Linked DNA regions of Caenorhabditis elegans. The protein of the gene in region 1 purifies or fractionates together with the protein of each later gene. This does not show direct contact. Each region holds a gene or a part of one and is shown on either strand. Other genes may lie near its edges.

Region 1 (3,756 bases):
TTTTCAATTTTGAAAACATACCTCCTCAATAGCTTTAATATTCTTTTACATTTTCTTTGCATACTCCGGAAGCATATTGGTAATTTGACGAAGGTACCCTAATCACCATTTGTTTCAGTACATAATAACAATATTTCCAATTTTCCAGCAAAGCATCCAAATCACCGCAACTATCCTAAAGAGTCTCCTGAAGCCGCCACAATTCTCACTTCAACTCATGGATGCCTATGATCAGCTCGATCAAAAGGAGAATCATAACCTTCGTTCATAAGATGTGCCACATGCTCCATGAGCTTGCACAAGACTTCTGCTGAAATTGTTTCCTGATCTTCATGATTTTCCGATTCTCATTCCTGGTTTTTTACTCTAAAATAACATTTATTTCTTTGAAGAATAGTTTTGAAGAACATAGATGAGAATGAACAAAAAAATCATATTTCCAGCATAAACAATACAAGATGAATTGCAAAACACAAAAAATAAAGTGATTATTATTGTTACAATTTCCCTAAAGACCAACACTGCTCAAGTAGAGCCTCGCCGACTTTTTAGCCAGATAGCCATCGCTCAGCGCCGGTCTCTTCAGGTTCTCCGAGTTGGCCTCCAGCTCGAACATCTGATTCCGCAGCTCCGCCAACTCTGCCTTCAACTTCTCATTCGCTTCCAGCATCTTCGTCTCGCGTTGGCATGCTTCGGACATCAGCTTCTGGACTAGAGTGGACCACGTGACACGGGCAGCTTCTGGAACATTTGGAAGTTCGGTTTGATGGTATGGAAAAGTTAAGCTTAAACCTAAATCTGAGAGAAAATAGGCCTAAGCCTAAGCCTAAGACTAAGTCTAAGCCTCGGCCTTGCCTAGCCTGAGCCTAAGACTACGCCTAAGCCTTAGCCTACACGTACACCTACACCTAAGCCTAAGCCTAAGCCAATGAGTAATCCTTTAAGAATTGAAACATCCAGCCTACCTCCCTTCTTCCTTTCATCCAAATATTTCCGATTCGCCTCGTTCAAGTGATCCTTCCAAGTTTCGCTCACGCTACTTCCACCACCACCGTCGCCGCTCTCCTTCTGCATCATAATCTCCGCATCCTTGCGCGCCAGCTCATCCTTCAGCTTCTTGTTCTCCCTCTCGAGCTTCACGTTCACAGCGTGAGAAGTTGCCTCGCATTCGGTCATGTAGTCTCGGTTTTTGGTCATTTTTGCCAGTTCGGTGACTTTCTTCACTGGAAATTATTGAAATGGTCAGACCTTGAAATAAATTATTTCCAACTCACAATGCTCATATTCGGCCTGTCCCAACATCAGTTGGAGCTCCTTGATAGTTTCCTCTTGCTCTTCGATCGTCGATTCCAGTTGCTGGCGAGTCTTCTGCTGCGTACCGACCATTTTTTGGGAAGTTCTTCAGATGACTAAACGGCAGATGGGTGACGGATGGAGAATAGTTGTATATTAGAAAATTGATGCACTGAGAGTGATGTAGAGAGGGAGAGAGAGTGCAGAGAAAAAGAGACGCCTGTAGATCGGCTCCGCCTTTATCTTTTGCCGCTGCAGGCGTGTGGTCAAAAAGGCTGCGGGTCTCGCCCGGACTAGACGTGAATATGAATTTGCACGGAGTTGGAAAAATAAAACAGAAATGTGATATTTAAAATTGAAAAAAACACGTTTTTTTTTAAATTCAATTTTCCACAAAATCCCCTTTTTCTTATCATTGTGCCCAATTGTTTTTGGAAATTTGTATAAAAGAATAAAGAGATTTGAATGAAAATAAATCAATATCATATTTGGAACCACAACACCTGCATCTCCACACAGGCGACCCGTCATCGTCACGTATACAGGGTCCTCCCATTTGCACAGGTCAATAGTATTCCTCCCAATTTTATGGACACATTGCATCTTATTTGTGGTTCTCTGTGGTCACTAATACGTTTTTACTTGGTTATGTTTTTTTTTCGTTTCTGAAATTTTTTTGTCTATTTATAATGTCTAAAATTGTGTCAAAATGTTAAAAACGTATTATTTTATAATTTTCAATTTGAATTTCAATAAGGTTTTTGTTGAGTAAAATTGCAGAATTATTTAGTACTATTTGCATATACCTACACGGTGTGGAATTTTTAACAAAAATTCAAAAAAAGATGTTCCAAAATTTAATTTATTCTCACGCGAGAGGCTTGAATTTTGAAACTTCTTTCTGTGTGCCTATGTTTTGTTTCAGCTCTTTTTTAGCTTTGATTCAGTTTTTTTAGAATATTTTTTTGGAAGTAAGCAAATTGAGTGTCATTCCTGCGAATTTGTAAAAATAGAATTTAAAATAGTTTTGCTCTGTTTTAGAAAAACAACGATGAAATATTGATAAAATGACAATCTTTCGACCTAAATATCTCAAAATTTCGTTAAATTTTTTTTTCTTAAACTTCACGAATACACTAATCGAATTGAGATCTACAATTCTAATATATTTTATACCCTCTTGCCGACTTCGTTTTCGAGAAAAAGCACCTAAAAATATGGTTACAATTTCGGCAAAACTGAGCTGGCTGGAAATTCCTTTAAACTTTTTCAGTATACTAAATCGACGATTCGCTACAATTCTAGTATATTCAAAAACACGTGGTATTTATATTTGCGGTGCTGTGCGTCGACAAAGTCGAGTTTAGGCCTAAAAATAGGAGATTTGTTCCAGTTAAAGCGACCTAGCTAGAAATTCCTTTATATTTTTTCTTTTAAACTTTATCAGAATATGAAATCGACAATTGCCTACAATTCTAGCATATTTAAAAATACGTGTCATGCATACTCCCGGAGCAGTGCTCCGACAAAGTTGAGAAAATGCCGAAAAAAAAGATATTTGTTCCAGATAATTAGGCCTAATACCTAATACCTAATGTACCTAATAGGAATTTCCTATGACTTTCATTTTTCCCACTAGCTAAAATTTACCCTAGTAACTTTGCAGCCTACGTTGGCAGTTTTCCAGACAATTTTAGCGTATTTTCTCCAATTTTCGGCAACGTTTAACCTAAGTTTAGTACTTTTTACCAAGTATTGGCAACGTTCGATAGTTTTTCAGTGCGTCTCCTAGATGCTCAAATTCAAGAGCTCAAGTCTCGGCGGTTTTTGATTTTTTTTCAAAAATTAATAACTGACAAACTATTCGTGTTACATATTTTTCAAAAGAGTTAAGATCTGAGAAACTATTTTCAAAAAAAATCGATGTCTCCACTTTCCTCACCTGCTCCATTTTCACCTTTTGGTTTACAACCCCTTGTTTTCTCGATCGATACGAATCAAGTGAAGATGCACCCCCACCATAAATCAGCTCAAATACATCTTCCCATACGTAGAGGTCAGTCATCTCTCACAGCGTCCACCATTAGCCATTCATTTGTCTAGAACTGTCATTCTGTCATTTTGCAACGTTATTCGATTATTTCTTCTGCAATTTTTTACATTTTTTCTTCTAATTATTTCTTGATATCTTTAAATTTGTGAATTTTCAGAGAATGGACACCATCATCAACATCAACAATAATAACCAAAAATACCCACAAAGTGCAGAAGAATATCATAAAGTTCTCTGCAATTACTTTATCACCTTACAATCAGGTATGTTCATCCTCTAAGTAACTTTTGCTGATTTCAATTTCTCTTTCAGCGATGCAATCCACCTCCCGGCCGTCCTCTTCCTCGCCTCCATCACTTCCAGCAGTGTCATCAGAGCTCCTTTCATCGAGCTTTCCAACAAATGCTCCG
Region 2 (3,304 bases), on another chromosome or scaffold:
ATATGAACAGAGTAAGCTATTATATTTTGATTGGTCAAGAAAGTAAATCAATATTTTTAAGGTGAAGGTCAACCAAGTAATTAAATTTCTCGGTTTCCATGAAATTGGAGACTGTGAGTTTTCTATGATCTATCAATATGTTAGTTCAAAGTCCGCTTCAGAATCTACATACAGCATCCACAAAGTGAGAGTTTTTTTAGTGGATTTCTTTTCAACTTCGAATTTTCAGTTCATGTGTGAAGACTTTCCGGGATGGGAGACACAATACAATAACGAAAAGAAAAGCATGGATAGGATCTTTGAGATAATTATTCAGGAGCAAAAAGTAAGAATGATTGAACATATATGAGAAAACATTTCAATGTTTTTCAGTTATTTTGGACGGAATATGATTATCATACATACAAACGCCATGCATACAAGATTGCTGTCCCGATGGTCTTCTCGCTTAACATTGTAGACAAAGCTGTTGGAGTTCGAAGTGATGCTCGCTAGCTAGTTAATGATAGCCCTGTCTTTCCCGTTCAACTCGATCTCTTTGAAAAAAATTCATTAAATCACATCAGAATCGCTCGAAAAAAAAATTTGAAGCTTTCAAGACAATCCCCAAAAAAGCATGCTCAAATCGTTATTTTGGAATCTTCAAATTTTCGGAGCATTTTTTCTTATTACGATGTTTTTTTCCTTAGCCAAATCTGTTTGTATGTATTTATCAGTTCCCGTTGATTTAATGTTTAGTTGGTAGAAATAAATATGAATAAAGTTTTAAGTTTCAATGTTTCGCAGTTGAAGAATTCGTAGAATCCACAATCCATCCTCCAAAATCGGGAGTTATTTTGTCAATGGCCAGTGTGAAGAAGCACGGAGTTTCAGCCGGATGAAGAGATCGAACACGCTGAAATTGAATGAAAATCTTAGTGATCCGAAATAAAAACATACAGCTGATAGCTCTTCGACTTTGCTTTCTACAGTTTTCAAGATCACGACATGCTCTTGATCTTCTTCAATTTTTCCTTGCCATTTGTATCTGAATATCTGGATTCTCGCACAGATTTAAAAAAGATAAAATACTTACACAGATGTGACTTCCGGAATAACATTGGCGCAAGCGGCTAATGCTTCAGTGACAGTTGTTCTGAAATGAAATTATGTTTTGGTAGACAGAAAACAAAAAAATACCTTGCCACAGTCATTGCAACTTCCTTACTCGGAGCTGTCACATACGCGACAACCATTTTTACAGCGGGTGTTGTCATTTTTATTTGAAAACTTATTTTATGTTGAAGCAATTCAGAAATGTTTAATTAATTACCGTACTTCATTCTAGCTCTCGTCGTATAATTAAATGTATGGGTCGCACTTGCGCGTCACGGTGTTTGCACACACTTGTATGCGCGCCAAAATTTTGTTCGAATTTCACCGCCAATAATTGTTTAGCCGCTGCTGTCCCACTTTTTGTTTTTGTTGGGAAATGTCTTTTTCATATTAAGCACTCAAATCCTAAAAATCAACGTATTTTAGGGTTGATGCCTCCGAAGACTTCGGCGGCGCCGCCACAATCAGACGAATCTGATTCTGATTTTGATGACGCTCCTGTTAAAAAGCCGCAGAAAAAGACAACGAAGCCTGTGAACCGACACAAGGAAGGATCAAAGGACCCGGAAGAAGAACTACAGGTATCCCTCTCAGAATATTTAAAAGCAGCAATAAAACTGAAATTTTTATTCAGAGAGCGGTAAATGAAAAATTTGATGGAAGCGACGGAGAGGACGACGACAGTGATCTTTTCTCATTGGTATGTTACTCTGTTTTTAATATTAAAGTCATTACATTTTACAGCAACTGCCATCGCGACCCGATTTCCTTACAAAACCGAATCGGGCGGATCGTTTGATGATTCGCAATGTTGAAGTGGACAATTTCAAGAGTTACTTCGGCAAGGCTTCCATTGGACCATTTCACAAAAGTTTCACATCAATTATCGGTCCAAATGGATCTGGAAAGTCTAATTTAATCGATTCGCTCTTATTCGTTTTCGGTTTCCGTGCTTCCAAAATTCGTTCTGCAAAAGTGTCAAATTTGATTCACAAAAGTGCTGGAAGAAATCCAGACAAATGCACAGTCACTATTCATTTTCAGCGGATCGTCGATATTGTAAGTGAATCAGAGAATCTAATAAAATATAAATTTGCTTTTTTTCAGCCTGGGCATTACGAAGTCGTCAAGGATTCTGAGTTCACAATCTCTAGAACTGCTTTTCAAAATAACTCAAGCTCATATGCTATCGATGGTCGACCGGCAACGAAGAATGAAGTTGAAGCACGCCTACGACGCGTTGACATTGATATTGAGCATAATCGTTTTCTAATTCTTCAGGTAAAAGTGACAATAAAACCGGTAATAAACATTTTTTTCAGGGAGAAGTCGAACAAATTGCAATGATGAAACCAGTGAAAACCACCAAAAGTGAAACTGGAATGGTTGAATATTTGGAGGATATTATCGGAACAAACCGACTCGAGCCCTTTGTTAAATTATTCCAGCGACGCGTCAATCGTCTTACTTGTGATCTTTCTCAACAAAGAATCGCTCGTGATCACGCCAGAAACAGCAAAGTAGCTATGGAGAATCCAGTTAGAGCTGCAATTGAGTTTCTGATGAAAGAAAACGAGGCTACAACGATTCATATGAAATTGGAGCAAAGAAGACGGTAGTTCTGAAATATTCCAGGTTAAAATAACATTTAACGTTTTAAGGCAACGATACCTAGATAAAATTGCTCCAAAACAAGCCGAACTTGACAAGATGAAAGAAGAAATGAAATCGATTGCTGAAACGCTGGATACCAACAAAAACGAATACAAACAATCTGAGGAAGCTCAGAAAGTTATGATTGAAGAGCGTTCGAAACTCGACAAAAACTTTGATAGTCTATCTAAGGAATTGAGCGACTTGGGCACTGAAGAGACTCGCAGGAAGGAGGCTTTGAAAAGGCATCAAGCTAATATTTCAAAGGCGGAAGCTGAGAAGGAAAAAGAGGTTAAAAAGCGATCAAATCTGGAAGCAGCACCCGAAAAGGCGGAGAGAAAAATCGCAAAATGTCAGGAAGAAGTGGAACAGTTGCTTGAAATAGAGAAAACAGCTAACGAGGAAGCCGACAAGAATCTTGATGAATTTGAAAAACGCTCTGAAGCGCCAAAAGAAGAACAAAAGAAGATTCAAGAGACTTGGGCGCAGAAGAGCAACGAATTTAACAAAGTTCGAGGTGAAGCAAGGATTGCACGGGAAGATTTCGAGGATTTAA

What was found. The genes of interacting proteins can lie anywhere in the genome.
Region 2: the proteins of F19B10.2 (region 1) and F35G12.7 fractionate together in Caenorhabditis elegans (co-fractionation; one large-scale study listed by BioGRID). This does not show direct contact.

The regions. Positions count from the first base shown.
Region 1 is NC_003280.10:3,673,341-3,677,096, reverse strand, and holds F19B10.2 (HOOK domain-containing protein), read right to left. Parts: upstream 1,622-3,756; 5' UTR 1,387-1,621; coding exon 1,275-1,386; intron 1,224-1,274; coding exon 966-1,223; intron 742-965; coding exon 509-741; 3' UTR 358-508; downstream 1-357. Other genes in the region: sea-1 (T-box transcription factor 18), read left to right, coding at 3,507-3,609, 3,659-3,756.
Region 2 is NC_003281.10:4,585,980-4,589,283, forward strand, and holds F35G12.7 (Divalent-cation tolerance protein CutA), read right to left. Parts: upstream 1,352-3,304; 5' UTR 1,257-1,351; coding exon 1,180-1,256; intron 1,136-1,179; coding exon 1,076-1,135; intron 1,028-1,075; coding exon 940-1,027; intron 896-939; coding exon 773-895; 3' UTR 559-772; downstream 1-558. Other genes in the region: F35G12.5 (SPK domain-containing protein), read left to right, coding at 1-11, 62-184, 230-325, 373-495; smc-4 (Structural maintenance of chromosomes protein 4), read left to right, coding at 1,527-1,676, 1,730-1,795, 1,840-2,154, 2,203-2,376, 2,418-2,710, 2,757-3,304.